3 linked regions of the Alligator mississippiensis genome follow. Each later gene encodes a partner of the first gene's protein in a complex. Links are inferred from orthologs where the notes say so. Each region holds a gene or a part of one and is shown on either strand. Other genes may lie near its edges. The genes, in order: CHD5, CDK2AP2 and MTA3.

What was found.
Region 2: CHD5 (region 1) and CDK2AP2 share a complex: the UniProt entries of both Homo sapiens proteins name them as parts of the nucleosome remodeling and deacetylase (NuRD) repressor complex. The link is inferred for Alligator mississippiensis from reciprocal best matches to the Homo sapiens genes CHD5 and CDK2AP2.
Region 3: CHD5 (region 1) and MTA3 share a complex: the UniProt entries of both Homo sapiens proteins name them as parts of the nucleosome remodeling and deacetylase (NuRD) repressor complex. The link is inferred for Alligator mississippiensis from reciprocal best matches to the Homo sapiens genes CHD5 and MTA3.

Annotation. Positions count from the first base shown.
Region 1 is NC_081836.1:18,203,010-18,211,071, reverse strand, and holds the start of CHD5 (chromodomain-helicase-DNA-binding protein 5), read left to right. Parts: upstream 1-5,018; 5' UTR 5,019-5,201; coding exon 5,202-5,256; intron 5,257-5,497; exon of another isoform or gene 5,498-5,586; intron 5,587-8,062. Other genes in the region: RPL22 (large ribosomal subunit protein eL22), read left to right, coding at 1,517-1,661. UniProt on the Homo sapiens protein: ATP-dependent chromatin-remodeling factor that binds DNA through histones and regulates gene transcription. May specifically recognize and bind trimethylated 'Lys-27' (H3K27me3) and non-methylated 'Lys-4' of histone H3.
Region 2 is NC_081825.1:170,472,864-170,480,037, forward strand, and holds the start of CDK2AP2 (cyclin-dependent kinase 2-associated protein 2), read right to left. Parts: upstream 3,057-7,174; 5' UTR 2,680-3,056; coding exon 2,565-2,679; intron 1-2,564. UniProt on the Homo sapiens protein: Acts as a component of the histone deacetylase NuRD complex which participates in the remodeling of chromatin.
Region 3 is NC_081824.1:194,058,665-194,066,556, reverse strand, and holds the start of MTA3 (metastasis-associated protein MTA3), read right to left. Parts: upstream 3,008-7,892; 5' UTR 2,798-3,007; coding exon 2,770-2,797; intron 1-2,769. UniProt on the Homo sapiens protein: Acts as a component of the histone deacetylase NuRD complex which participates in the remodeling of chromatin.

The sequences.
Region 1 (8,062 bases):
AGACAACGTTGTTCCTTCCTGTATCGTTGATCTCTCTCTTCACATTCCCTTTGACTCTCTTGCCAGCAGTGCTGTCTATATGCTTTTTACTGTGTTGGTTCCTTATTGTTGGAACCCCCTCTCATCTGGTGTGCTCAAGGCTTGTTTCTCTAAAACCATTTGTAAGGCACAGGAGCATTTATATTTAAATGTTACTGTGGAAGTCAAGCTCTAAGTGTGTTTATGGTTGTGGCAATGGTGGTTTTTTGTGTGTTTGTTTGTTTTAACTAAGGTGATGCGTTTCCATGTGTATTGCTTGTATGTCCCTGTCCTTTTGACTTGAAAGCTGTAAACCCCTCAAGAGAGATCATGTATTTCTCAACACAGCACCTCATGTATTCTGATCATTATTGCATTTGCTTACTAAAGAATTGGAAAAAATGTCAGTTGGTTAGTGACTGAGTTTTATAATGTCTGATGAAGCCATGTACCTTTATTTGGTACCAAACAAAAATAACCCTGCCTTGCTGGCATGCTGTTGTTGACAGTATCAATTTTCTTGGATTTGGGGGTGGAGGGAGAAAAAAAGCTGCTTGGCTTTTCTGTTATAAAGAAATTGCTGCATTGTCTGACATGTACCTTTACATGGGGACTCATGCTGTGATTGATAACATCCTTTCCCAGCCCCGAATTATTTGGTTTTGATGCATGTTATTGTGCAGGCCTTAATTCACTGATTCCATTGAAAGTTTTTTTTTTTCTAAAATAAAGTTTGTTTAGAATGTAAGCTTCTAATATCTTCACTTTTGATGTGGATAGTCATGTGTGCTTTTTTTTTTTTTTTTGCATTAGAGAGCTCTCCTTGGTATTCCCCCCCCCCCCCCCCCCGGCCCCCAAGGTGTTCTTTTTAATTTTATTTTCTTAATTAAGTTTGTGCAAAGGCAGGGCATGACTTGGCACTTATCTCCCAAGAAGTGCCTTAGCTTTTCCCTCCTGTGTTCTGAGTAGCATGTCTTTTGTAGTTACTTCTGCAGTAATAGCCTTCTGGCTTGCCTTGCAGAGAGTTAAGTCATTTCTAGTAAGGTGAGAACACTTTTTTTTCTTGGTTGAGAAGATTTTAAATCTGCTTGTTGAAACACTAATATAAAACATAATTTGTTCTTCTGAATCGAGTTAGTGGTAAAGCCCCACAGGGGAGGATCTTCAGGAAAAAAGATGTAATGAATGGTGCTGTTAGGCAAATATTGCAGACCTGAAAGTGCTTTGAGCCTATACACTACCTCTTTGTTTCTGAAAAAGTAAAATAGCATGTTACAATCTGTAATCACAGTGGGGTTTGTCCAAAATGTCTCATCAAGTGTGAAAGACTTTAAGACAAACTCTTCTTGTTATATAATGCAAAATTGAAACAGCATAGAGAAAAGCATGATGGGAATCTTGTAAACTATTTATTTGAATTTCTCCTACAGCATGTAATGTAGGATAAGAGGTAATTGTACTGCTTTCAGTTGGATTACTGGTTTCCTTCTTTCCACAGATACCTGAAGTATCTGACTAAGAAATATCTGAAGAAAAACAACTTGCGTGACTGGCTGCGTGTCGTTGCCAATAGCAAGGAAAGTTATGAATTACGATACTTCCAGATCAACCAGGATGAAGAAGAGGAAGAGGAAGAAGATTAAATGCATGTGAATCTGGAAATATTTTGTATATTAAATTTCCTTGAATAAAATGAAAAAAAAAAAATGTTAACATTTTCTGTGTTTTTCAAAACTCTAGTGTTAGGCAGCTCTTCCAACTGTCCTGATTGATATGGTGGTCATTCTAATGCCACAGTAAGTACTTAATTAGTAAAGGTTAACAGCTTTTGTTGTACAGATAAACTTTATCTAACCAGACTGCAGTAATGTAGACATTTTTTCCTCCTGCTTGATCTTGATTCATAAGAGAATTTCTCTTGCAGAATCTGGGGTCCCTCATAAAATAGTCTTCTCGTTTTGGAGAACTGAGATTTCCTGTTTATTTTTGTAATACCTCAAGTACAATATTACTTAACGGTCTCTTTGTAGCAGATTTTTATTTCACTTAAAATATTCCAGTATAGTAGAATGAAAATTGGTAAGTGTCTGGAAAAGAGATTTGTCATGCTTTGACTTTGTCACACTTAGCCCTAACAATTTGCTGTGCCATCTGGCTTTGCTTTGTTTTATGGAGCCCTGTAGCATCATATGTTATGAAAGGGTTGAGATTTTGGAAGCTGAGGAGGGGATGTAGTCAGAACACCAACCACTTCATCTCAGTGTCTCAACTACAGATGAGAAGTTTAGCCAGTTAATTTCCCACCCTTTTTTTTTTGCTGTCAGACCTATCTGGTTTAATTTTTAATTAAGAATCACTGTATGTGGCTTCAAAGTTATCTCCAACCAGAGGTCTAGTCTGAATAGAATGGGGTTTTTTTTGTTTTTAAAGGTTTCCCCTTCCTTGGCTAATGTCCCACAAGGGGTGGCAGCGGAGTCTGGTTGATAGAAAAGATCAATCACACAACACTTTTTTTATTTGGGTAATGTTGACTTCCAAGAACTTTTTGCAATAGTGCTTTTGAAACTGCAATGTAAAATCTGAATTTGCAACTTGTCAAAGCATTGTGCACTCAGATGCTTCTCTCAGCCTGAGAAAACTTAAAGGTGTAGGAATATTGGTATGAATGCGTGCAGTGGGGTCAGTTTTCTTCACATCCCTAAGAAGTTATCAGCTCTGCTACAATGTTTGAGTATTTGTTATTTATACAGGTATATTTTTGCTTACTTATTACAGATGAAGACAGTCTTGTAGCATGACAATCTGTTCTTAGTCGCATACCGTACCTTTATCATTTTACAAGTAATTAAACAAGGTGTTATTTCATAGGGCTGATGGAGTCATTTTTCAATGAGCTTTAGAAACTGTTATTAAACTTGTAGGTAGCGTTATTTCTTGTTCTCTTCCCTCTCCCTAGTAATTTGCCATTGCTTTTTTTTGGTGACAGAAGGTTGGATGGATGTGTCTTCAGAGATTGTTGTGATATTTCTAAATGGAAATGCTTATCAACATGAGCCCTGCTGACCAAAGGCTCAGATTGGCAAGCAGTTTGCAACAATGGCTCAGTGAACAGTGTTCAAATCAAGGCTACTGAACTTTGGCTGGGAAAAGTCATAGTAACTTGGCTTCACATTATCATGATAGGCTGCTGGGCTTCAGGCCTGTCTGCACTGCACTTGCAGTAAAATCAAGGAATCAAGTGCACTTGAATTTCTAAAATCTAAATCAGCCACACTGGAGCCTGATTGGATCTGTGCTTGGAAGTCTGAGTATGTGAACTCTTGGTTTTAGTTCCTCAGGTCTTTTTTTCCCTCCCCAACTGCCAACATGTTGGTGCACTGAGTCACTAAAACATTTCTTGAACATGAAAGCATTTATTAGTGCTTCTTTCTTTTAGTTAAAATCTGTTTTCTTACTGGTGTGAGAAATAGGCGTACACTGAAGTGTTAATTTAAATGATGCTAACCTTCTATAGAAGACCCTATGCCATTGCAGCGGCATTTGTTGCTGTAATCTAAGATGTGGCTTACCTAGGGTATTTGTGACAGGCTTTTCCCTTCTGGAATTCCAGATGGTGAAATGCTCTCTTAGGTTGGGTGGGGAATCTTGCTGAGTTCTTACCTGTGAAGCACCTGTATTTCCACCACTAAAATGGGACAACTTATTGATGTCAGGCTCTGCCACTTCTGATGGACTAAGCTATACATAGGCACTGGAGCCAGACTTGGGAGTCATCTTTTTGGACAGGTGCAAAAAGAACCAGTAAATAATGTACTGAGCTGAGTGACATGCACATCTAGTCGGAGGTTTTAATGTATGTGACCTGGTGCTCCTGGTGTGTGAAAGAAGGGTGTTTGTTCACTGTGTGCCTTGGCTTCCCTTCTTTGAAGCAGCTGTTTGCATCACAAGCTGAAGGGCTGCTGGTAAAGTGCTTCCAGTTCCTTTTCCTGCGTGTTGGCCTAAGGACATAAGTAGACAAGGCTGTTTGGGCAAATGTGATATCTTTTATTAGACCAACTAAACAGTTGGAAAAAATTGTTCTTTGCAAGTTTTTGGGTACAAACACCCTTTGTCAGGCTGAGGAAGCTTCTGCAGTTGGTGCATGCTCTTCCTGGATGGAAGGAAAAGTAAAGAAGCTTGCTTAAAAAAAATTTCCCTCAACTATATAAATTGGTTTAAAAGAAGATATCAGATTCACCCAAAGAACCTGGTCTGCCTATGTCCTTAGATCAACATAGCTTCAACCTACACCCTTGATAAAAGACTAGACATTTACCCGAAGAACCTTGTGGGTCCAATTCCTTTTTAACACCGGGCCAGCTGTGGGCTGCTCAGAGCCCAGACGGGCTGCTCTGCTTCACTCCTGTGCGGGATGAGCCGCGGGGGCCGGCCGGGGAGCGCTTCCCCGGGGGCGGGGGCGGGCGCGGGAGGGGCGCGCGTCCAGGTAGGTGCTGCAGGCGCCCCGCTGTGCCGGCTCGTCTAGCGGCTCTTCAGCTCGCAAGTCACTTCCTCAGAAGCGCAGTGCGGTGACCTCGCCTTGCGGGGGAGCCAGGCGGGCGGGGCGGCCCTGGCAGAAGCTGCCTCTTGCAGCCGCGGAGCTGAGCGGGCGGGCTGGCGGCCGCCGGGGGGAGGGCTGGCCGTTCACCCGCGCGGCCGGGCCGGGCCGGGCCGAGCCGAGCGGGGCGCAGGCGGCAGCATCCTTAGCAGCCGTGGGGGGCGCGGACGCCCGTTCCCTCCCTCCTTCCCGAGCGGCCCCGGCCCCGCGCCTTGCGCAGCCCCGGCGGCCGAGCGAGCGGTGCGGAGGCGATGGGATGCGGTTGCCTGGGCAACCAGACTGGACGTCACACTCTGGGCATGTGTAGTCCCGGCTGGTGCCGCTGCTCCCCCTCCCCGGCTGGCGGGCGCGGGCGCGGGGGGCGGCGCGGAGCGCGGGCGGCTTCGCCTCCACAGGCGGGGGAAGGCGGGGGAGCGGGAGCGGGAGCGGGAGCCAGGGCAGCCGCAGCCGCAGCCATCTTCGCGCCGCGGCCGCGCCCCGTGCAGCGCCCGCGGGTGGAGGCTGGCGCCGCGGGGCGCCCCGGGCCGGGGCCGGGGCCGGGGCTGGGGCTGGGGCTGGGCAGGCGCCGGCCGCCGCCGGGGCGCGGAGCATGCGGGGCCCCGAGGAGGAGCCGGACGACATGGAGCACGAGGAGGACGTGTCAGGTAGGGGCCACGGCCGGGCCCAGGGGAGGGGCGGCACCCGGGCTCTGCCCGCGGCCCCGGCGGTGCCCCTGCCCCTGCCCCTGCCCGCGAGCCGCGCCCGGCCCGGCCCGGCCCCGCGCTCCCGGCAGCGGCTGCAGGTGCGGCCCCGCCAGCCCCCAGCGCCGGGGAGAGCGCGTTTCCCAGCACAGCCCGCCTGGCCCCCCGTGTCTTGGCCCCCTTGTCTGCCATAAACTTTCCCTACCTTGGCGTCAGGCTGTTGTTTCCTCCCACATTGCCTTGGAGACTGTGCTGTCATCCTTTCCCCGCTTAGGGCACCTCGGTGTAGACCCCTCCCTTGCCTTTCCCTCTCCCAGGCCTGGCGCACTGCTGTCCCTCCCTCTCCCTGCCCAGGTTGTATCCTGTGCCCTTGCATTGCTCGCGCTGCCCTTCCCGGCTGTTTGGAAATCCTTCTGTGTCCTGGGGGCTGTAACCCCGTGCACTGGGGTGTGGTATTAAGGCCACCTAACTGGCCAGGGCAGCCAAGTCAGCTTAAACAAGCCTCAGTTGGAGGATCTGGATTTTCCTGTTGGTTTTCTTACCCAACAGACTGCTTTACCGGTCTGTGGCTGGTACAGGTGACACCCGTCTGCCAGGCTGGCAGCACCCTGGAGTGTGCTCCAGCTGCTGAGTTAAGTCCAAGTAAAACCGTGCTGTTAGGCTGCTGAGTGCATCAGCCGTGTCCAGGTTAGAATTCAGTAACCGCAGTGGAACAGGGCTCCTGCCACATGGGCAGGGACATGGGCAGGGATGACATGTAGGGGGTGCACATGCACCCCCTGAGTGCGGCAGTACATCCCCTACAAAAGACGCCGGTGTCTGCAGGCGGTCCACAATCACTGCTGGCCACCATCAACGGCAGCTGCAGGTGGTCGCCAACCCTTGGTCAGCACTCGCCACCCTCCTCCCCCCACACCGGCGCTGTCAGCGGCGTCTGCGGGAGCTCTCCCGCTTCTGCCACCGCCGTTGTGCTCCTGCCACTGCCGTACCCCCCTTCCCCCCCAGTTGCTGGGAGCATGCGTCGTTCATGGACATGGGGCATAACTGGGCGAAGGGATAACTTGTACTGTGAGGTTTGGTACTGGTCAGCAGGCCTGATGGCTGTGCCATTTCTCCAGGTGTGACCTAAGTAGGAAGTGTCAGTCTAAGCGAGTGACACTAAAATGACCAGTGGTGCTAATGGTGTCAGGGTGTTTGGCTTAACCTAGTGTTAATGGGGACCAAAGTGCTCGAGAGGAGGGTGGTGTGGTTTTCAGTGGATGTTTCTCACACGCAAAGCCTCCAGTGGAATAGCCTGGTGCTCTCCCAGATAACCCTGGGCAGGGTCTCCAGCAGCTGCTCCCAGGAGTGGCATTCTTCTGTGTTTTCTATCTTAATGACAAAGAAGTAAAAATTGAAAAGTAGAAAGAAGCTTCTGCCTGCAGAGTTTTTTGTTTTTAAGTCAGCCTTGTTCATGTCTCCCACCTGGAACTTCTCTTGTATCTAATAAAGCAGGCACTTGGGCCAAACTCACTGCTAGCATAAGCAGCTACAAATCCATAGAAGCCAATTAAGTTGCAATTGCTTCTGATGAGAGTAAGGAAGTTCCCCCGACACAGGGAGCCAGCCTGAGGCCTGTGCAGTGCTGTAGCATGCCATTTCAACCTTCTGCATGAGGTGCCTGTTAGAAACTTCCAGTGGATATGCCTTGTTCTTAAATTTCCAAAATAAATGCATTTCTGTGTCGAATGCAACTTAGGAACAAGGATATAAGACCAAAGTAGAATTTCTGGATAAATGAGAGCTGATTTGCTAATTCTGTCAGGCTCTAACCTTCAGTCTCTCCAGTGGAGAAGTGATATTGGTGCCTAGTGTCAAAGCCATGAGGACGGTAGTGAGTGAGGGACTGTGATTCCAAAAGCCCATTAGACATGTATCATTAAGAACTCAGGTACAGGATGCTCATTTTTGCAAGCTGTGAAGCTATTTATCTCTATCCTATGCTTTGTTTTCCAAGGCAGGAGGAATTTTGAACATCTGGCAGTTAAATGCCACCCCATCAGTGTCAAAAAGGGTCTGTACTTCCTTTGCAAAAATGACTGGAGATTATTAAGATCCTTTGGTTTTCACTCTTAATACACCTGACTGATGTCTAATCAGGCAGATAATCAGTGGCCACAGTTGTGCCATGGAAATGAGAGTGTGACTTTGCATGTGTTGGAGAGAGATGTAAGTGGAGCGGATTAGTGTAATCTAAATAAAAAACAACAACTTGTGTCCAGTGATTTCCTGTTATGGGGATTAAGGCATCAGTAATTCACCTGTTAAATCTATTGCCATTGCTGCTTTTCTCCTCCCAATTTTCAGTTCATTTACCCACAAGCTCAGTGTGCAGAATGATGGTGATTAGGGTCTGAACCCATTGTAATTGTTCTTCCTGGAAAGGTGCTTAGAATTTTGCAGATTGACACTTTTTCTATACATGCATAAGAAAACATCCCAGAGGAGTTTCCTCCATTGATGGGTACTTCTTTTCAGCTAAGAAAAACAGAAAGAAGAAATACAAGTGTGCAGCAGAGGGGGTGCAGGGTTCTCTCACTTAGCGTTTCCTATTCTAGCTGTCCTTATGTTCGTGTTGGAGGCAGTAGCAATCACAGTGCTTCCATCTTGCAGAGACACACACAGGAGTGGGGTGAGAGGAACTTGTCCTCTCTCTGCCCCTCTGGAGAAGGGCTTTAGTGTTCCCTGTCCTGGAACTTGCTTTCTTTAGCAGCAGAATCAGAGGTCGAAG
Region 2 (7,174 bases), on another chromosome or scaffold:
GGAATTTGTGGTTTTCTGTCAGCTTCCTGCAGAAAAATGTCATAAAGGCAATATCCTGCCTTGCAGAAGAGCCACCTCCTTTCAAGAGCCTCCTCCTCACAGCCTGATCTTAGATCCACTGCCCAACTCAGAAATCAGCCCTAATATTAGGTGCTCCTCCTGGACCTGTCCACCCAACACAGTACCCCTTCAGCTTGCTACAGCTGTTTCTCAACACCGCCATCCCAGCCTGCACCCACCTTCCTCCCAGACTGCTGACTCACACGGGAAGTGAGTCAGAGAAACTCACCGAGTGGGACATCTTTTTTCTGCCCTGTTGTATAGTTCAGCCCAGGATGGGCCATGGCTTGAGATTGTGGCACAGCCCTCCCTGTGCCTAGCCCACACCACCACATGAGCTGAACTCACTTTCTCCATCCTTGGCCTGCCCAGCTTCAGGCTGCCCCAGCCTTCCTACAGCAATGCATGTCACCTCTGCCCCACTAACTCAATCTCACTTGACAGCTCCCTACAAAATGTCTCCCAGAGTCCTTTGGGACACTAGGGTTGCAGTGAGTCTTGGCCTTCTACTGTTGCACCTTGGTGCAAGGAGGATACCTCTCAATATTCTCAGGCCCAATCCAAAAGCTGCCCTGCCTCTGAAGACAGCCCTACTTATCCTGGGGAACTAGACTGAGGAACAGGATATCGTCCTATCCTCATTGGCTGGAAAATAAATACAAATATGGAAAGCTGCCCTTGCAACACAAGACCAGGCCTTAGAGCACTTCATTCTGCTCTCCTCATCATCAGGCTGCCAATCAGTCCAACCCTTTGTCTCCCTCTGTTTAATACTTACCAGTCCTCAGTCTCAAGCCAGTTTCTACCCTTAACCTATATCCCTCTCTTGGGCCTGCAGTCTCCACCCAGCTCCAATGAACTAAACTCACAGGGCCTCTCTAGGTACTTGCCATGGCTTCACAAGGCTACTACCTTCTCCAAACCAAAACACTCAACAATACACTCCCTAAGATGCTCGCTTGTAGCCTCCACTCTTCCCCTCTAGCCACCCCATGCCTCACAGCTAATATAAACTGAAAGAGAAACAAAAACAACTCATCTATGAGACCCTCTGCAGAGATCCTTCTCTCTTCAAGGTCTGGGCCAGAAAGCCCCCTCCAACCTAAAAGCCAGTCTTATATTGCCCTAGGCTCCATTCCCTTTGGGTCACCTGACCTCTAACTCTCAGAACCAGGCATAGGGCATCCTCTTCACTAATTAGTAAACTTATTTTTTGGAGCCCATCTCCATGGCCTGCATGTGCAGGTTGCTTTTCCATAAAGGGTTAAAGCTCTGCAGCCAGCTTCTTTGCAAGCTGCCCCCACAGCCTGCCCTCTGTGGCACTGCATTCACTCCACTCAACTAATAAGGATCAGGAGCCCCTATTACATACGCCTAGCCAGGCACAAACAGTGCACGGATGCTGAAAGAAACCAAGACACCATGTTGGTCTGACGAAGCTTTCCTTCTCAATTCATGGCAGAGGAGCAGCACTGCTTGCTCCTGGGGGACACAAGCTTATGCACATGTCCTATGGGCCACAGCAGTACCTGGTGACCAAGGCCCACAAGGCAACAGCTTCAGCTGCTGGCCAATTAGCAGCAGGTCAAGTCACCCACCATCAGCTATCCTTTACCCCTGGTAAGGGAGCCCCTCGCCCCAGACAACATTGAGTGATGGCATTTCTTTCCTGCCTTTGGCATGAAGGTGTGCCCTGTTTCAAACTGCATTTTCTTGTTTGGCGACTACATCACATCACTCCAACTTCTTCTCTGTTAGACCAGTGAGGCAATGAACCAGACTGCCTAGGGAAGCTGTGAACTCTCCTTCACAGGAGGGGTTCAAGAACAGGTGAGACAATCATTGGACAGGGATGATCTAGCTACGCCCAAGGGTGCTTTTAGAGCACCAGCTAGAAGCCCAGAAGCTCCCCGACATACACCGCTGGCTGGAGATAACTAGAGGAACAGTACAGCCTAGAGCAGGCTATGCTCAGCAGCAGAACGAAGCAGAGCTCCTTGACTGGCTGAGTTACATAAGGCTAAACCAGTCAGGACAAGCTTACGGCAGGGACAGAGCAGGTCAGGCCACCCAGGGAGAGGCTGCAATGGGTGGCATTGTACATGCTGGCCAAAACTGCTGGGCACAGTGCAAGGCACCTGGTATTTCCCAAGCGGCTGGGCTGGGCTGGGCAGGATTCCCCACTCCTGCTGCTACACCTGTGGGGGGACCTCGCTCACCTCCCCCAGAACTGCTGTGGACCAAACTGGGCCGTCCCAGGGCTCCTGCTGGGGCTAAGCCCCGACGCTCCTGGGGGAGGGGCTTGCCCCCCTGCCGCGGGTCAGACAGGTTCCCATGTGTGGTCTCAGGAGCCAGTTTCCCCCGCAGGGTTAGGCGGGACCCGCCCCAAAGCCACCGTCTCGCACTAGGACCCAGAGGCCACTTCCGGCTCGCGAAGGTTTCACCCCCCTCCCCCCACCCGGCCAGTCCCGCCCGGGGGCTGCGCGAGGCGGAAAGTCCCTCACCGGCGGGCGGGGCCCCGGGCCCGGGGGCGGCGGGGCTGGCGCTGCTGCTGCTGCTGCTGGCGCCGGCGGTTCCGGAGCTGCTGGCGGGGGCGGGCGCGATGGGCTTGTAGGACATCCCCGACGGGCGACGGCCGCGCGGGGCTCCCGGCTCGTGGCGCGGATTGGCGGCGGCCCCCGCCGCGGCGCGCGACGCTGATTGGGCGGCCGGCGAGGCGCTTCGCGCCGATTGGCCGGCGCCGTTCACCCCTCGCTCCCGATTGGCTGCCGCTGCCCCGCTCTCCTCGCTGGGTCCCGGCGCTGCGGGGTCGGCAGTGCCCTCGCGTGGGGTGTGTGCGCGCGGTCGCGCTCAGGCAGGCCCGGCTCTCAGGAGGCGCGCTCCCGCGCTGGCCGGCTCGGGGCGCGCTCTCGCGCTGGGTGGGGCCGGTGCTGCGGCGCGTGGCTGCCAGCCAGACCCGCGCTCTGCTCGCCTCCGACCCCGGCTGGCCGCTCGCAGTGACGCCGCCGCTGCGCCTGCGCGCTCCGCCCCCCGCGCTCTGTGACCTCATCACGTCGCCCCGCCTCCCGATCGCCGCCGTCTCCAAGGAAACCAGCGGGACGCTCTGCGGCGCGGCCTGGCCTGGCCTGGCCGGGCGGGGCGGCTCGTGTCGTGTGTCGCACGGTGCGTAGGGCCTTCGTGTCCTCCTGCAGCACTTCGTGTTTGCGCCTCCTCCGCGTCCAGCCCGTGTGCAGCTCTTGCAGCCCGCCCCGCCGGCGCTCCGGGGCGCTGGGCAGGAAAAGGACCCCGGGAGGCTGCCTGCTTTCTGTGGTGCAAGAGAAGTGACCATTTTTGCCTGATCAGGCCACAGAAAGCAGCTTCTAGCTGTGACCAAACACAAGCACGCGGCTGCAGACAGCTTCAAAAACGGCCTGCCTGGTGAAAACCTGACCCCCTGTTGCAGGAGGGATCAGATAAAGACCTTTCAAACTAGCGTCTTCTGTAACTTGTGTCTGGGAGCTCCCAGCCTGTCGCTGTTTTCAGGACGGGAGGGGGAAAGGGGGCAGAGGGAGTACACCAGTGGGACAGGTGTATTGGAGGCCCCCTAGGTTCGGGGAGAGGCTCCAATTCACCTCTACCCTTTGGCACCAGCCAGGGAGCCCGAAGAAGAGCTCCCTCCATGGCCTTTCGCCTCTCTCATTCTCGAAAAGGTGAACGCTGGCACAGAGCTTCGCCATTGCTGTGGGAACCTGGCCTCCAGCTAGATCCCCCCCCAACCAACAGTGAACTTCTGTTTCGTCTGGGGTAAGCTTGTAACTCAGAACCAAAAGTCGTTTTGAGTTACAGCTGGCAGCTGCACCTCTTTCTGCATCCCTAGAGTTCCCTGTTCATGTGAGGGGGAAGGTAGGGAAAGCACCGCTGGCTCCAGGAGAGGGCATTACAGTGGGTGCTGCAGCCTCCCTAGGCCTTGTGGTCTTTAGCTTCCCAGTGGCATTTCTCTTGGAAGCATTGGTGACGCGTAGGGGGAGTGTAGGTCAAATCATCATGAGATGATTCAGTCTAATTCACAAAGAATTAAAATAAAATAAGTCTGTATCTAGGCTGCTTCAGAAGGGCACACTTGAAGTCAACCAGCCTAAGGAGCCCCGGGAATTGAATTCAAGTGCAGAAACTCAAAGATGCAAACATCTATCTGGACCTTGTATTCAGTGGGGAGGAGGGATATCACCTCAGGAAGGATATTTGGAATAAGCAGAGTCTGCAAAAAGTGGGATAAATGGTCAGAACAGCCCAGAAAGCTAAGAAATTTAAGAATAAAGTGAGAATTGCTAAACATTAAGACGTGTTAGACATTGCAACATTTAAGAAAAATAACAAAAGAAATAGAGAACAAGGACAGAAGCGGGGTGGCTAGTATGCAGTGAGGGGTGCAATGTGGGCCACAAACTGAGTAAATACTGGGTGTGTCTACAGGAGATGCTTTACTGCACAATAGACTAATTTACTGCGTAGTAAAGTGTCACTATTTATCCATATGCCAAGCTACTGCATTATAGGCTAATGTGCAGTTATCTACTACCTGAAAATACATGTAGTAGTAGATCAAGTGTACATTAGCCACTGTGCAGTAGTGCATGTGCAGATGCTGGCCAGGAGCATTTGCTCTGGGCCAGTCCAGGCACCAGGGGGCCCACTGCTGCCAGGCTAAGCCCCATGTGGCAGGAGCTGTGCTGGCTGCAGGGGCAACTGTCTCCCTGCCACATAGGGACAGGGACTGTCCTGATCACCACATGGCTGGGAGAGCTGTCCTGGCAGCCAGGACTGCTGCATCCCAGCCAAGTGGGACTCAGGATCCCAATAGCTACATGACCGAGAGAGGTGTCCCCACATGGCCAGAAGAAACATCCTCACCTGGCAGAGACAGCCATGTGGGGATGGGAAGGGTCCTCTCCCAGTCATGTGGGGATCAGGACCCTCCTGATTCCCATATGGCTGCCAGGCAGCACCCCTCTCCCAGCCACTTGGGTCCAATCCCCACGTGGCTGGGATTCAGCAGTCCCAGCTGCTAGGACAGCTTTTCCCCTACACGTGGTGATTGGGACCAGCTCCCTGCCCTTTGCCAGCCGGGAGCTGGCACCTCGGGGAGCCTGGAGCTCCCCCTGGCTGCTGCAACAAGGCAGAGCAGGGCAGGGGGGAGGGGGCACAGGGACATCCCTTGTCTCACCTGCTCCAGTTGGGAGCAAATTTGCCAGCACACATGTAAGACTTTTCCCCAGGTGCAATTTACTACTCCTTTTTTAATGTGCAGTAAGTGCATTTATAGCACATGTAGATGCACCCACTTCTCATTTTGCAGTAAGGAAAGTTAGGCTGACAGTGGAGCCAAAGGCAGGGTGAGAGGGTATGGAAATGGAAATGACCACGGCTGAATGGGAAACAGAATACTAAGAGCTCAATGTGCCCATGTAGGGGTGGGGGCTTGGCAGTCTGCATCCTGGAATTCTGAAAGACTCAACACCCACAATCACAGGTCTGGGAGCAAGGATTTGTAATTAATCTATCAAATCAAGAATTGTATCCTATGGCTAGAAAATAAATAGTGCCTGTATTTATTGAGAAAGGAGTGACCTGGGCAACTAGAGGCCTGTTTAGGTTGAGATTCTGCCCAAGTCAAAGGGCTAGTTGTGTTAGCATGGTTAAAACAAGCCAGTTTCCAGTCAGCAGCACACAAGGGAATGATGTGGCTAGTATCACTGCCAGCTCCTTTTAATTTCCCAGCCACAGAAACCTGGTATCTATTTATAGCTAAGTCAACTGTTGGCAGCTTTTGGCACAACTCCACAGCAGGGCTCAAATTCACACTTTGAGCAAGACACCTTTACAGTTTCATCAGCACATCTGTTAGTCTGGCCTTAATAATATGAAGATGTTTTAATTAATTTTAATCGTTGCATTTTGAATTAATTTTGAAGACTAAAAATTAGTTATATGGAAAATGGGAAAAATTACAATACGAGTTTACAAAAGTTTAAACATTCCATCCTGCATCTTCACTAAGATAGCAGTCTTTCTAGACCAAGAACATGTAGTAGAGCTCATTTGTCTGGACTTCAGAGAAGCATTTGAAAGAATGTCACCTAGGAAATTATTAGCTAAACTGAAAGCAATGAATACTATACAAGAACTGTTGGGTGAGTAAGGACCTGATTAAAGGGAAGATGACAGCTGGTAGCATTGAAAGGGGAAATATTGGGCTGAATAACAGAAGGGAGTGCCTCCAGGATCGGTCTTGAGACTGAAATTATTTTCTTTAATGACCTTGGCACAAATAGCAGGAGTGTGTTATCAATAAATTTCATTAACAAACTAATACTGATTGACCCAGTGCAGAGTACACCTTGGCTTAGTCTGCCCCCTTTCCTGCCTACACACAAAATAGACCTGTCCTCATCTCCAGTCCCATCTCCCCAGATCACAAAACAGGGATTCCACTCACTCCCAACCCTAGTGCTCCACACACAATATGGTCCCTCAACTAAGGTGACCACCCGTTCCTAATTGGGCAGGACAGTCCCAAAATTTAAAGGTCAAATCCTTGTCCCAGGCTGCTTGACTCCTGGACAGCATTTGTCCTGGGTTTCCCAGTAGCATGCAGGGAGCCAGGTTTTCCATTTGCTGTGGAAAACTGTGGGAAACAGCAGGTTTCCCCTTTCAGCCTGCAAGGGGCTGCTTGGGGCTAAGGGAAGCAAGACATGGGAGGAGCCACATGCATGTGTGCACTCACGCATGTGGCCAGCAACACAGCCCCAGGCAGCAGGGGAGAGCAGCTCCCCCAGCTGCCTACAGATAAGTCTGGGGTGGGGAGGCAGATTGAGGTCCCCATGGTGAGGGAGGGAGTGGGGCAGGGTTAGCAGCTGAGGCTGGGGCTGGGGATGCTACCCAGCCGGGGTGGTGCATGGGGCCCAAGGTAGGAACATGCAGCTGCAGGACCCAGCCAGAGATTGGGATAGAGTCATGGGTGGTTCATTCAGTGGCGGGGCAGGGAGCAGCTCCCCTCTGCTGTGTGCAGTCCCAGGGAAAAAGACATGGAGGGGGTGTGTAGCCACCCCCCACCCCCTCACCCCCATCGGGCTAG
Region 3 (7,892 bases), on another chromosome or scaffold:
AGGGTCGGAAGGGACCTCACAGATCATCGAGTCCAACCCCCTAAAATAATCAAAACATCTGTGCGCAACATCTTTCCCTCAATCTGTTTTCTCAAAACCTACCTTTTTTGGAGATTCTCTAAGAAATGCTTCACTAAATTCAAATGTAATTTGAAAGTTTGTCTTATTTTCGTTTTGCAACAATGTCTGAGTTTTCTCTATATATGGTAGAAGTGAATATAATCCAGTAATCTCCAATTACTGATTACAGTCTTCAAGGGTAATCTCCAATTAACTAGCTTCACTATAACCCACCCTACCTCCCAGATGGTTGTTGAGAAACATCTTAAGATTAAACCACAAAAAATATGCATGCTATCATTGTTTTTCATCTGGAACACAAAAGTAGAAAGTTTAGCAAGCTCTCAACTAGTGGTTCTCAACTTTTTTCATATCATGATCCCACCTAAGAAAAGAAAGTTTCAGGATCCCATCTCGTTTCACCCTAATGAGAGGATGGTTTTCACCTCTATTACGAGTTGAAGACCCACAGGATGAGAATCCAGTCTGAGCAGCAGGAACTACATTGTGTACATCAAGGATGTCAAACTCATTTGCAACACCCCCTGGCCAGATTCAGATCCCAAGGAGCCTTGCTGGCCAACTCCACACACACCTTGGTCAGTGGTAGCAGCAGGGCTGCGTCAGCTCAGGGAGCCACAGAGATTAATGCAGTCATGGCTCAGCCTGCAGCAGAAACACATCTCCATACCTCAGCAGGCAAGGTTCTTTGGGTAGATGCAATACCTTTTATTAGACCAACTGAGTAGTTGGAAAAAAGTTCTTTGCAAGCTTTTGGGCACAATCACCCTTCTTCAGGCATAGAGAGTCTCTGCTGTTCTGAGACTCCAAGAAATGAGAGAAGCTAGAAGTGTGGCAAGATGTCAGTGAGAATGTAAACAGGCAAAAATTAGGAAAACAAAAAGTTGTACCTATTTACATTCTCACTGACATCCTGCCACACTTTTAGCTTTTGATTCCTTAGAGATCTCAGAACAGCAGAGACTCCCTATGCCTGAAGAAGGGTGATTGCACCCAAAAGCTTGCAAAGAACTTTTTCCCAACTACTCAGTTGGTCTAATAAAAGATATCACATCTACCCAAAGAACCTTGCCTGCCTATGTCCTTAGACCAACACGGCTACAACCAAAAACCCAGTCTCCATACCTCAAAATTAAATTGTGGGTCTGCGCCTGCTCATTCTACCCCTCCAAGAGCTCCACTGTACAGATGATGGCTCTGTAGGCCAGATCCAGCCTGCAGGCCACATCTTTGACATCCTTGTTGTAAACCATTACCTGATCTTCAGAAGCACTACTCTAGTAAAGACTGAGTAAAGATTTACAGGACTAAATGACCTAACAGAGGAAGAGGAACAGAGTGGACTTGTTGCTATAACTGCATCAGGTGGAAGGGGGACAAGGGGGACCCAGTTCATCAGTTTGCCATCTTTAATTCAGGCTTCCTTAGCACATGATTTGCTCAAACAGGAAAACATGTATCTTATTAAGTTCCTGTTCTCCATGTCCCCTGCACCGGATACTACTTTGGGCAGTGATAGGACAGGTATACTATTGTGTAGTAAATGTCAGGGGGTGTACAGAGGCAAAATTCAGCTGGACTTTTCCCTTTCACATTCTTTATGCCAGGAATCACAGCAAAGCAGTATTGCGGTGTACACAGGAAGTGTTTGTCTTCTTCCACAGACTCTTGGACTCTCTGACTGGCCTCACTTCCTTTGTGCCCATGCAGCGGGTGAACCGACACACAAGGGAGAGAAGGGGGATGAAAAAAAAAATTGCTCTATTCCCCCGCAGACCGCAGGCAGCTTATCATCAAACTGTGGTGCGGTGGGGTGGGGATGGAAAGGGAAGCAGGGGTAGGAACTGCACCTTCAAGAAGCAGCAAGGGGGAATGACAGACACTGCAGGAAGTCCCAGACAGATGCAGGTTGTGGGCCCATCAGACCTGAGCAGAGGCCAGGCACAGGACCTCCGGCCCTCAACAACCTCCTGCCCAGGGATGGCTGCCTCCCCCCGCAACACACACACAAGCATGGGTACACACACAGGCACACATGTACACACCCACACAGGCAGGCACAGGTGCATAAGCACACACCCAGGCACACGTGAGCACACACAGGCACATGCACATATGCACGCGCACACACAGGAACATGTGTGCACATACACAGACACACGTGTACAAACACAAACAGAGCCACATGTATATGTGCACACTACAGGTATGGGCATTTATGTGCACGAGCACGCGCACAGGCACACTAGCACGCACACTTCAGGTACGCACGTAGGCGCACAAGCACACACGTGCGCACACACTACAGGTACACGTAGGCGCACACAGATGTGCACACGTGTGCACGCACACTACAGGTACACACACGCCCGAGCAGTCACACAGAGGTGCACACACTACAGGTACATACACGCACACAGGCACACACGTGTGCACACAGGGACACCCAGAGGCTGCGGGGAGCACGTGCTCGCCCCGCCGAGGGGGGGCGGGGGCGCTGCGTGTGCCCCCGGCCCTGCGGGCAGGCCGCCCGTGCCCTCTCCCCGTGGCAGCGCCGGGCCGGGCCGGGCCCTGCTCCCCGTCCTGCCCCGCTGCCCGGGGCCGGGCCCGACCCCACACACCCCTCCCCCCCTACGCGCTGCCCCTTGCCCGCAGCGCCCCGGGGGGCCGGGCCCGGCTCCCACCTACCTCCCACTCGGTACATGTTGGCCGCCATGTCTGCGCGCTGCGCCTCCTCCTCCCGCCGCCGCCGCCGGGCCGGGCTAGGCGAGGAGGGAGCGGCTCCCGCGGCTCCCACCACCTCCCCCCTCCTCCTCCCGCCCGCGCGCTGATTGCAGCGCGCAAGGGGTTAATCTTGGCCCGGGGGCTGGCCCTGCGGGGGCCCGCGCAGGGCGGAGAGACACCTGCACGCCGGGCCGGGGCGCCGCGCACGAGTCGGGCTGGAGTGGGCGGGCCGCCGGGGGGCATCGGGGCATCCTCCCCCTCGCCCGGTGCAGGACGGGCCTTAGCCAAGCTGGCCCCATACACATCATAGGAAATGTGGGTTGGAAGGGATGTCAGGGGGGCGTCTGATCCACCCCCCTGCTCAAAGCATGACCAGCCCAACTACAGCATCCTGGCTTTGTCTAGCCGGTCTTAAACACCTCCTAAGGATGGAGAGTGGGTAACCTGCTCCAGTGCTTTACCACCCTCCTCTTGAAAGTTTATTTTTTCCCCCTAATAATGTATCTAAACTTCCCATCCTGCAACTTGAGACCATTGCCCCTTGTTCCATCACCTGCCACCACTGAGACGTCTAGCTCCAGTCCTTTGTCTAACCCCAGGGTGTCACACACGGCCTGCAGGCCAAAAGACCAGCCTCCAGCCTTGCTAGGGACATTGTCCCACCACCTTAGCCAAGCACCCTCATGAGAGCTACGGCACTGGAGCCCCCACAGACATATGGGGAGATAGCCAGGGCACAGACTTTCATAGATTTTTGTAGACATTAGGGCTGGAAGGGACCTCATAAGATCAAATGTTTGTTGAAGGTGTCCAGAGTAGGTGTCCAGAGTAGGTGCTTGCACCACTTTGGTAAGGAGTCTATTCCAGACCTTGGAGGCTCAGCCAGTAAGGAAGTTTTTCCTTATGCACGGCCTAAAATGGTCTTGCTGGAGTTTGTGACCACTGGACCTTGTCATGCCTTGGGGTGTTCTGGTGAACAGACATTCCCCCAAATCCTGATGCATACCCCTTATATACTTATAGGCTGCCACCAAGTCACCCCTGAGCCTGTGCTTCTAGGTCCGCAGCTCATTCTTGTCATAGCAGGTAAATGCCTGGGGTGGCAGGCCTCTTCCCGCTGGACTGGAAACAGAGTCTGTGGGCCCAGTCAAGCCCACTGGGCCATCCCCACACCAGTCATCCAGCCCACACACTAATCCTGTAGCACTTCTCTGGCCTGCAAGTCCAGACAAGTTTGACACCCCTGGTCTAACCTGTTAGCAAACACCTGCATGTGACTGACTACACCAGGGGTGGGCAAAAGGTGGTCCACCACGCCATTCTATCCGGCCTGAGGGGCTCCTAAAAAATTTAGAAAATGAATATTGATCTGCCCTGGGCTCCCTGTCATGCAGCCCTTGATTGCTTGCCAAAACTCAGTAAGAGGCCCTCCGCCCAAAATAATTGCCCACCCCACAACCACAAGGCGCAGCACCCTCATCTGCCACAAGTACAGCAGGGGGACCACAGCAGCCCATGTCCTGCTACTATAAGTATTATTAAACACACCTGAGAGATCCAAGGAAAAGAGCCAGGCCCCCTGCTACAGAGGAAGGCAAAAACTTCCACAGTCTATACCAATTTCTGATATACCATGGGGTAAAATTCCTTCTTGATTCTAACTACAGCATTTGGTCTAACCCTGAGCACAGGGGCAAGACCTTTCAGCCAGAACCCTCCAGGAGTCTTGGCACACCCCACTCACAGGATCAACCCAGAGACTACGGATAGGAATCCACAGTGTAAAAAATAATCTGACCTGTTGCAGTCCTTCAGAGTTCTTTACAACAGAAGAATGCCTCTAGTATTTTCCCAACATTGAAAAATGAGTGGAAGCTAAGAGCTGACATTTTTCAAAGGGTGCCTGCCCTGAGTCTAAAAAGGTTGAGAACCAGTGGTCTGTTGTATGTCCATGGAAGGAGAAATGTTAAGAGCTGTGTATCTAGATGAGTGGCTTTTCACTTTTCTAGATTCAAAGCACCCCTCAGTAAATGCCAGCTCTTAGCTTTCACTCATTTTTAACTACAGGAAAAAAGAGCAATTCTGGTGTAAAGGGCTCAGAAAATTGATTATAGGACAGAGTGTTTTCCGGTTTGATTGGATTCCTATTTGAAGTCTCCGGGTTTACCTTGTGAGTCAGTTATAGGTGTTTGCTCACTTAGCAGTACTAAGACTGCATAACATTTCAATATTGGTGAGTGGATCTTGTGGCACCCTGCTTAAGAATCACTGATCTAAACATAGGTTTGTTATAAAGCACAAGTAAATGAATGGGTGCCTATAATGAAAGTAAGGAACATAATCACAGTTGTGTCTTTGGGCAGTGAAGTATGCACCCATACATAAAGGCACTTTAGAGAAGATACAAATGCATGCTTATTATGGAAGAGGGGTGCATGCAGGTGCCTGTGTACTCTTATGCATGTCCACAGATTGATATTAGAGTTTGTGTACTTGTGTTTACTGATAGGGTATGTGAAATACATATTTGGAGTATTTAAATAATTGAAATTCCTATGAGCAGGTCCTCATTCTACTTTTTAACTGTCCCTCATTATAGATACATGATGTACTACTACTCCATGAAAAAAGACACACTCTTATTTTTGTAAGATATTTTCTTTGAAATGTTCAGTCACAAAATGGATCTAATTAACCATGCCATTTATCTTACAGCAATTATAGTATTTCACACCTTTTAACAATTTCAGACCACTTAACAGACAGCATAAAAACCTTTCTTGTAGCAGAAGGCTACAATCATGTGCCTATAATGACTATACCTTTTTACATTTAGAAGAAGATAGTTTGAACAATTTGTTCAAATTTCCACAGTACTAGTAGAGGCAGGACTTAATTGTGGCTTCCTGGTCTGGTCCTTTGTTCCACTGGATCACAGTTTGTCATAAAAGCAATGAATCCCACCCTGTGCTGTTTTTAACTTGTGACCCTCTTGGTTTTTATTTCCATGTTGTATTTTACATTCAGCATCCAGAGGTTTGACTGGCATAATCACTGCTGTACTCAAATATTAATATTCTCAACAGACAGCTGTATATTCTCATCCAAAGGGAGTTGCTTACACATTTATTCAGTGGCATTGTTGGTTTTTCATTTGTTTTACCATGATGATGTACCTTTTTTTCATTTGAGCAGTAACACACAATTCATCCGAGCATAAACCTTCAGTTAAAGTGATGATCTCCTTGAATACATTTGACAGTAGTAATCAAGGCTTGTTGGACGGTGACACATGAAAATTCTTATATTGTTTTCAAAAACCCTGTCTGAGAGTGAAAAATGTCCAATAGAAAAAGTTTACCATATATCCTGGAAAAATTACTAGATGAAACAAAGATAAATCTTGTAGCTGGTCTCAGAATCAATAAATGTTTTAAAAGAGTTGTTTACAAATAAAACTGATTCAGAAATGCTCTCAAGGCACCAATAACAAAATTATAAGTGATTTTCCTTGTTTATTTTAAATTCATCACATGAAAAACATATATTATTAAAGAGCTAGATTATGATTTGGACTCTTTCCTTGGAAAACAAAAAGGTTCTACTAATTTCTTGCGTAACAATGATGATGTGTCATTTGTCTCACATCCAGGATTGCTGTCTGTGTATCCTGTTATAAAGATGGCAGAAAGCAAGACCTTAGAGACAAACTCATTCAGAAAGGCTTAAACTTTCATAGGCAACAGCTTACTTCATCAGATGCTATGGATGATATAAAGATGGCATCTCACATCATTCCTGAGTTAAAAGGAAATACACTGTAGAATGCAATAAGTTAGTAAACATAAGGGGAAAAATCATTAACCATACATATGAGAAGGGACCTACTGAATTTGAGGCAGTATCTGCTGATTTTTCAGGCAGAATATGGGGCCTGGCAATCATGTTCGGGGGCAGAATGCAGGGTCCAGCCGCTGTTTTGAGGGCAGAATGCAATGGTCTCGTCCCATACTCCTCTGATTGGCTGAGGGGGGGCAGTGACCCTGCCCCTCACCATTGATTGGCTGCAAAGGCCCTGCCCCTCACCATGGATTGATGGAGAGAGGTAGGGCCACATGACAGGCAGCCAACATGACAGACAATCAATCAACGGCGAGGGGCAGGGGCATCAGCTATGCTGCCTGCAGCCCTTCAAGTGGGCAGCTCTTCCCCTTCTGCTTCCCCCCTGTGGCAGGCCGCAGCACCTCAAAAATTGCTGGCTTCCTCTGGGGAGCCAGGATTTTATTTTGAGTGAGTTTTCTTTTTCTCTCTCTCTCTCTCTCTCTCTCTCTCTCCCTGTCTTCTTTCTTCAGATTTCACTGGCATTGCCTACTTTCTTAGCCAATGCCAGATTTCACAAAATCTATAAAACTGCGATTTCATTAGGTCCCTACATATGAGTTTCCCTTCTTGGCAGTACGTATTCCAGTCAATCACATGCTCATATCCCTTCTAAAAAAAAGTCTGTGACCATTAGTATAACATTTCTCATACATTATCGAACAGTCCATGTTTCATTTCCTGAATTTAGTAGTTCTAGTGGAAAACAAGAGCAATTTAGCTGCTGTTAATTATGCAGCAACACAGGCCTCATACAAATATTCAGTTTCTGTCAGGAGAGTCAATGCTGCCCCAGGAAAAACTACAAGTGTACAGAAGTTGAGGCTTTTTTTCCCCCAGAGTAAAAATGGCCACTCTAGGAGAAAAATAACCTGGGAGCAACCAGAGTTAAATCACCCTGGGAGAGTTTCTTCTAGAAGAACAAATGTCCGTACATCCTGTGCTGAGTAACTTTTCTACTAGGAGAACAAACCTGGGAGAATTATCCCAGATTATTTGAATGTATGTACACAGCCACACAGAGTCCCTCAAAAGGGTTTGATCACTACAATAACATCTTGCCTGGAATATTAAAAAAAATCAACAGTTTAACCTTGTTTTTTAAAGAAATAATTAATTTAAACATTTAAATAACATGAAAAGTTCAAGACAATTTTGAAGCAAGAAAAACAATTCAAACAGTTGATCAGGTTTATTTCATTCATGAT